Linked DNA regions of Mus musculus. The main gene of each other region encodes a partner of the protein of the gene in region 2 in a complex. Links are inferred from orthologs where the notes say so. Each region holds a gene or a part of one and is shown on either strand. Other genes may lie near its edges.

The links.
Region 1: Ccdc114 (region 2) and Ttc25 share a complex: the UniProt entries of both Homo sapiens proteins name them as parts of the outer dynein arm-docking complex. The link is inferred for Mus musculus from reciprocal best matches to the Homo sapiens genes ODAD1 and ODAD4.

Annotation. Positions count from the first base shown.
Region 1 is NC_000077.6:100,544,089-100,548,422, reverse strand, and holds the start of Ttc25 (tetratricopeptide repeat protein 25), read right to left. Parts: upstream 2,816-4,334; 5' UTR 2,623-2,815; coding exon 2,515-2,622; intron 1-2,514. UniProt on the Homo sapiens protein: Component of the outer dynein arm-docking complex (ODA-DC) that mediates outer dynein arms (ODA) binding onto the doublet microtubule. Plays an essential role for the assembly of ODA-DC and for the docking of ODA in ciliary axoneme.
Region 2 is NC_000073.6:45,927,170-45,930,726, reverse strand, and holds part of Ccdc114 (coiled-coil domain-containing protein 114), read right to left. Parts: intron 2,204-3,557; coding exon 2,104-2,203; intron 1,937-2,103; exon of another isoform or gene 1,896-1,936; intron 1,661-1,895; coding exon 1,471-1,660; intron 1-1,470. UniProt on the Homo sapiens protein: Component of the outer dynein arm-docking complex (ODA-DC) that mediates outer dynein arms (ODA) binding onto the doublet microtubule. Involved in mediating assembly of both ODAs and their axonemal docking complex onto ciliary microtubules.

The DNA of each region.
Region 1 (4,334 bases), on a different chromosome or scaffold from region 2:
GAGAACATTGCCCCAAGGGAAGGTGGCTCTGCACTAGAAACTGGTGCCAGGAAAGACAGACGTGATCCCCTAGGCGTCAGACCAAGTCTGCCCTCTCTAAGACCTTCCTTCTTTTCTAGGAAGAGGAAGCAGCTGCTATCTTTCCTAGAATGGGAGGGCTTCCTAACCTGCCCTTGGGGCCATCTTTACTTTCTGTCTCAGCTTCTCTAGGACCAGATTGCTCCATGAGAGAGGGGAACTGGCGGAACTCCTAACTCCATATGCCCATCAGGTCGTCATTTCTCTTAGAGGCTGTGACTAGGGAAAGAGGTGAAAGATTGGGGGATGGTAGAGAAGCTGGACTTGAGGGAAGTCTTGGGATTGGTTAGTGGGCTGACACTCCGTTTAAGGGTTTGCTTTAATTTGGTTCTTTGGAAACAGTTTTGCCAGTTTAGCTCAGGCGTGTCTTGAACTCACTATGTAGCCCTGGCCAGCCCCAAACTCAAAATCCTCCTGTCTCAGCACCCTGAATATTGGGATTTACAAGTACCACCATGCCCCGATGCTATGCCAAGTAGAGCTGGGTGTGGTGGTGCACGCCTTCAGTTCTCAGGTGTGTACTGAGGAGGCAGAGGCGGGAGGATCTCTGAGTTCGAAATAACCCAGTCTACAGAGCAAATTCCAGGATGGTCAGGGCTATACAGAGAAGTCCCGTCTTGAGAAAGGAAGGAAGAAAGAAGGAAGGAAGAAAGGAAGGAAGGAAGGAAGGAAGGAAGGAAGGAAGGAAGGAAGGAAGGAAGGAGGCTATGGGCTCCTCATGTTACTCAGAAGAAGAGCAACTGGCAAGCATGTGGGGTCGGAGCACCAGCACCCCAAAAGAAAAGTATAGTTTCTAGCAAAGGAAATGGTTATTCTGTTCTGGAGGCAGGATCTCCAGTATTCCACGCTGGCCCTGACCTTGCTAAGTAGCCATAGATGATCTTAAATCTCTGTTCCTTCTCTCTCTCTACCTGCCAGCTGCTGGGACTGAAAGTGTGGGACAACACACTCAAAAGCAGGATCAAACCAGGGCTTCATGCACACAAGGCAAACACTCTACCCAGCTAAGCACTGTCTCCAGCCCTGCAAAGGAAAAGGTTATCAGAACACCTTGCAGTCTGGAGGTTGGCACCCCAGGCAACTGGAGTCTGAATGCTTGGCTCACAGGATCCTTCCTCCACTACTCCAGCTAGTTCAGTGCAGTGACCTTGGGCATGTTACCTAACTTTTATATTCACTTCCTCATATATACAAAGAAAACAATAGTAACCCCTTCCGCTCCCCGACATCCTAGACGGACACACACTGCTTAGAGCAGTGAGTCTAATATCCTAAAACGACTCCCAATCCCTGTAGGGTACAATGGTGTAATTTTCAATAAGGTTACTACAGTACGCCCTAACTTCACCGACAACTTTCTTACAGGCAAGCCTGTGCCAAAGACTTCTACATTTAGCTTCTTGGGCAATCTGTGGCTAAGGATGGGAGACTGAATTTATCAAGAGAAAGGTAATCATGAAACATTTAATGATTGGTCACATTATGTCTCCAACTGGCAGGCATTAGTGAGAAACTATAAGAGAAAATGGCAAAAGTCAGGGTTTATGTGTGACAGTGGCATATCATGGGAACCAGGAGTATGATATCCACAAAATGGACCTCAGGGCTGCTGGTGATGAAAAAAAAATGGTAATTGGGTGGGACTGGAGATTTTTTAGCAGCTAAGAACACTAACTGACTGACTGCCTGCTCTTCCAGAGGACCCAGGTTCAAGTCCCAGCACCTACATGGCAGCTCACACCCCTCAGTCCATTTCCACACTCTAAGAGGGAAGTATGCATGTGGTCCATGCATGCTGGCAAAACACCCATCACATACAAATATTTTTCTTTAAGTGGTGAAGTGTGTGTGTGTGTGTGGTGGGGGGTGGTATCGTGTTGATTTATTGGTTAACAGCACTTACTATTCCTGTAGAGGACCCAGATCTGGATCCCAGCACCCATTTGGTGCTACATAACTGCCTGTAACTCCAGTTCCAAGGGATCCAGTTCCCTCTTCTGGCTTCCAAAAGTACCAGGCATGCATGTGGTATACATACACACAAATCTTTCATCAACAACACAATGGTGGTGGGTCCAGGTAGCAAGCTGGGGTTCCATCATTCCAGAGGCCAACTGCAAGATAGGGAGTTGGCCTCCAGAGGACATAAGGAGGGCACCTTCCTTTCAAATCATAAGTTGGGAATGAGGGTGCACATTGGAAGTCATCTCTCAGGAAGTAGGGGTAGTTCGAGACCACCCTGGTCTACAGAACAAGTGTCTATCTCAAAAGAGGAGCGGAGGCGGGGAGGAGGTTGAGAGAGGAAAGAAGAGAAAAAAAGAAGAGGGGAGAGGAGAAGGAAGGGGAAGGGAAAGAAGAAGGGGAGGAGGAAGAGAGGGAAAGGGAGGAGGGGAAAAGAGGAAGGCAACACAGTAATAGGATCAAAGCGCAACTCACGTTGGTAAAGCTTTGAATGGCCTTAGTGAACTCCCCGCACAGATAAAGCCTCTCCCCCTCTGCCATGTAAGAGGGAAAAGTGCTTCTTAAGATATCACCGTCCGACATGGTCACCCTACTTTTGGAAATTCTGAAGCAGATTCAGAAAGGAAAAGAGGCTGGAGAATCGCCGGCTTGTTTTGGGACAGCCCGGTCTCTTAGCAACCTAGAGAGATAGTCTAACTTCCGGTCCCTCCCCTCCCCTCCCCTGGCGGTGTTAGGCCTCCGGGTGAGCCCGCCCAGCGTGCTCATGCGCCTGTGTCGCCACGCTGCGCACACCGGTCAGACAAGTGCTGAGCGCGTGGCCGGCGGCTGCAGGACGCTGGCGCTCCAGAGTGATCGCTGTTTGCTTGTAGGTTGCTTCTCCCCTCCAGTTGCCACGTGGAAAGCCTCGCAGACAAAGCAAGCCAAGAAAATGAGAATTGGAGGCAAAATTCCAAGTAGGATTAAGGCTTAAGCACTCCAGGTCCCATTAGGAAGGAGAGAGAATTTTGGAACCGGAGTCAGAGGGCTTGGGCAGCCTTCTCTCTTGTCACTTCTTAGCTGCGTGATCCTTGACCAAGCACATTAGGGAACTGAAAAGTACGCGTTCTACCTGCCAAATGAACAGGAAAATAATAGAGCCCTCAGGGACGTGAGGATTTGCATGAGAATGCAATGGAAAGTGTGATGGGTTTAGCTTTCAATGTCACATAGTTATGGAACACTTGCTAATAGCAAGTCTAAACTAAGGTCTAGCCTGACATAATTCTGCAGCCATTCAGGAGTAATGGCTGTGGGGATAACTCAGTTGGTAAAGCGCATGCTAAGCATGCAGCTCTCTGTTTCAGTTCCCCCAACCCTGGTACAGCCCAGTGTGATGGCACCATCTTGTATTAGCCAGCCCTGGAGAGACAGAAAGACATGCATTCCTGAAGTGTCCCCTGGCATCTACATTCACATGTGCACAAGCACACACATGTTCACACACACACACACACACACACACACCACACAGACACAGCAGTACCTCTAAGTACCCATAATATCTTAGATAGCTAGCTCAGTTAACTGCCTCAACTATATTGGTTTTTTAAAACAGTCTTGGAGTTATACATGATTTTGAGCCACCACTTGGGTGCTAGGAGTTAAACCTGGGTCTTCTGCAAGAGCACCAGTGCTCTTAATCCCTGAGCCATCTCTCCAGCCCAGAATCTTGTCTTAAACTGTCTTTCCAGAATTCAGCTGAGCCAGGCTTGGTGGCCTGGGTCTTTAATTTTCTTACTCCAGAGACAGAGGTAGGAGGTTGGTTGTGAGATACAGGCTTTCTGGTCTCCATAACAAGTTCCAGGCCAGCCCTGGCTACACAGCGAGTTTCAAACACAAAAACAGAAACAGGATCCAGCTTAATGGGCATGTATTAGGAACAGAATCCAGCACACAGTAGGAGCAAAGCAAACCGTTTTCAGTCTCTAAAAAAGATGTCCTTACTGGCAAATGTATAAACACAAATGAGCACAACATCTGTAATTCTAGCACTTGAGAGACTGAAGCAGGATTGCCACAAGTTCAAGGCAGCCTCAGTTACATAGTGAGGTGAAGGCCAGCCCAAGTAACAGGGGAGTCTCTGTCTCAAGCCACCATAACTGATTACTTGGGAAAATGTGGTAAAGTCAGAGACTTTCATTAGTGCCAATACCCTTGTTGGTTGTTGATGTTGTTGTTCTTTTGTTTTGTTTTGTTTTGTTTTTCGAGACAGGGTTTCTCTGTGTAGCCCTGGCTGTCCTGGAACTCACTCTGTA
Region 2 (3,557 bases):
GTTCCAGGACAGCCAGGGTTATACAGAGAAACCCTGTCTCAAAAAAAACAAAAAAACAAAAACCAACAACAACAAAAGACAAACAAACAAAAGAATGTCAGCAAGTATAACAATCAGTCAAGCTGCAAATCAAGGCTTTGAGTTCTCAGAGCTGCCTCTCATCATGGCTTTGACTTCTTGAGGATTCTCTCACAATAAAACCAAAACAAAACAAAAATCAAACAAACAAAACCAACAGGGGCTGGAGAGATGGCTCAGCAGTTAAGAGCACTGACTGTTCTTCTAGAGGTCCTGAATTCAATTTCCTGCAATCACATGGTGGCTCACAACCGTCTGTAATGGGAACCAATGCTCTCTTCAAAAAATAGAGAACCGGCTGGGCAAGGTGGCACACGCCTTTAATCCCAGCACTTGGGAGGCAGAGACAGGCGGATTTCTGGGTTTGAGGACAGCATGGTCTACAGAGTGAGTTCCAGGACAGCCAGGGCTACACAGAGAAACCCTGTCTCAGAAAAAAACAAAAATGAAACACCAAAGGGTTGGAGAGATGGCTCAGTGATTAAGAGCATTGGCTGCTCTTCTAGAGGACCCGAGTTCAATTCCCAGTACCCACGTGGTGACTCACAACTGTCTGTAACTCAAGTCCCAGTGGATCTGACTCTCTTACACAGACATGAAGGGAAAACACCAGTGTACATAAAGATTAAAAAAAAATTTTTTTAAAGGGCTAGAGAGATGGCTCAGACATTAAGAGCACTGGGAGCTCTTCCAGAGGTCCTGAGTTCAATTCCAAGCAACCACATTATAGATGGGTCTAACCATCTATAATGAGATCTGGTGCCCTCTTCTGGCATGCAGGCATACATGCAGGCAGAACATTGTATACATAACAAAAATTTAAAAACCAAAACCAAACAAACAAAAAAACTTTAAAAATAAAACAACAACAAAAACCTTACTTAGAAATTAAGAGCTCCAAGACAAAGGAAGTTTAGGTACCACTAGTTCAAAAATGCCTCCCAGGGTCCCGCATGGTAGCCCACGCCTTTACTTGGAAGGCAGAGTCAGATCTCTATGAGTTTAGTATAGCTTGGTCTATACACCTAGTTACAAGACACCATAATAAGACCTTGTTTCAAAAAAGCAAAGCAAAACAAACAAACAAAACATTCTTCTCCGGTGGCTAAAAGTATTCAAATAGGTCCACAGTCCAGCTAAAATTTAGTGTGAATTTGGGAATAGTTTCTTTTGCTTGGCACATTGCAGGAATGGGAGGTGGGATTCGCAGCCTGTAGCCTTGAACTTACAGCAACCCCCCTGCCTCAGTTTTTCAGGATGTTGGCTTTACAGTTAACACACCATCCCTGGCTCTGGGTGGAGCTCTGGGCTCCATTTTTCAGATAAGATCGCCAAGACTTAGAACAGTTACTACAAGGTCTGATAGGATGGCGGCCAACTCGGAGAACCCACCTGCTTGTCCAGGGCCCGGTTCTGCTCTTGCAGCGCCTCGATTTCCACCTGCACCTGGGCCCGAGACTTGAGAAGACATTCCATTTCCGCCAAATGCTTCTTGTCTCCCAGTCGCTTGACCTGGCTCTGCGCTACGTTAATCTGCGTCTGGAGCTTGGCTCGAAGCATCTCCAGCTGCCGAATCTCCTCGCTGTCCAACCGGGAGGAGCAGGTGGTCCGCACCAGCAAGTGGCAGCACTCAACCAGTTCCAGCCGGCGCCCCTCACTGAGCCCCGACACCCCACCTCCCCACCCCCACCTCCCACCCCCCACCCCCCACCCCGCCCCAGACCCTGTTTTTCCCAATCCCGTCTCTTCTCTACCCCAGCACTGGACTCTCCAGAGATCCTGCAACTCTCAGGCCCTGCACCTCCTCCTGTTCCTACCTTTTATCCTGTCCCTTTCATGAACCACTCCCCTGTCCCGGCTCCTTCCCCACCCCTGTACTTCCCCTCCCCTCCTCCCCTCCTCCCCTCCTCCCCTCCTCCCCTCCTCCCGTCCTCCCCTCCTCCCCTCCTCCCCTCCTCCCCTCCTCCCCTCCTCCCCTCCTCCCAGGGCTCAGAAGTCCCTTTTCTGTTCTTTTCCCCAGCTTACACTTGCTTCCTGAGGCGCTGATGAACTTCCTTGCTGTATGCCCGCCTTTCCAACTCCATCATCTTGCACTGCCGTTGCAGGCGGCTGAGCTCCCCATCCACTGTGGATGAGACCAGGCAAAGGACTCAAAGGGATCAGGACTGTCAGATCTCCCCAGAGGGTCCCTTTAGGATCTCAAAAACTACAACTGTACCCCAGTCCCAGCCCTGGCATCCTATGGAACCTCATCTCAGTCCCTGTGTTCCCAGTAGTCAAACTGACCCATTCCCATCCCAGCTGTTCTGGCTTAAGGATGCCCCCTGGTCTAAAACACCTGGGACTAGAGAAAGAGGCTCCCTCCTAGCTTTCTGTTGGACTGCAGTGGCCTCTCTCCTACTATCCTCTGGGCTTCACCCAGCCTCCCACTCATCTCCCTACAAAATCCTCAAGGACTTCCTACACCCAGAATGGTCCCTTCCTTCCTCTTAGATGCCTCAGTCTAAGGCCAGAAGAGCCTGCCATACCCATCTGTCTTAGTTAGGGTTTCCATTGCTGTGAAGAGACACCATGACCAAGGCAACTCTTAAAAAGGACATCATTTTATTGGGGCTGGCACACAGGTTCAGTACATTATCATCATACCAAGAAGCATGGCAGCATCCAGGCAGGCATGGTGCTGGAGGAGCTGAGAGCTCTACATCTTGTTCCAAAGGCAAACAGGAAAAGACTGACTCCCAGGCAGCTAGGAGGAGGGTCTCAAAATCCACCCCCACAGTGACACAAGTCCTCCAACAAGGCTATACCTACTCCAAGAAGGCCACGCCTCCTAATAGTGCCACTCTCTGGGCCAAGCATATTCAAACCACCACATTCTACTCTCTGACTCCCCTAGGCTTGTTCAAACACATGATTCTATGGGGACCACACCTAGACACAGCATGACACTAAAACATTTAGTCCAACTAGAAATGTCCCCATAGTCTATAACAGTCTCAACAATGTTAAAAGCCTGAAGTTCAAAGTCTCGTCTGATGTGCATCCAATCACTTAACTGCAATCCCAAAGCAAGATCAAAAGCCAGCTGGGCAAACTCCAAACTCTACATCTCTATGTCAAAGTGTTCTTCAGATCTCCAACTCTTCTCTGCTTTGTTGACTGCAACAAACTTCTTTCTCCTGGGCTGGTTCCACTCCCTGTTAGCAGCTTTCTTCAGAAGGTATTCCCTGGCATTTCAAACATCTTGGGGTCTCCAAGGCAACTTCAACTTTGCAGCTTCTTGTTCCAATGTCTGGGATCCCCACATGATCTTCTGGGCTCCTCCAAAGGGCTTGGATCACATCTCCAGCTCTGCTCTCTGTAGCACTCTAGGCTCTGGTTGACTCCACTCCATTGCTGCTGCTGTGCTTGGTGATCATCCCATGGTGCTGACATCTCCAATACACTGGAGTCTTCTGCTGTAACTAGGCTTCACCAAC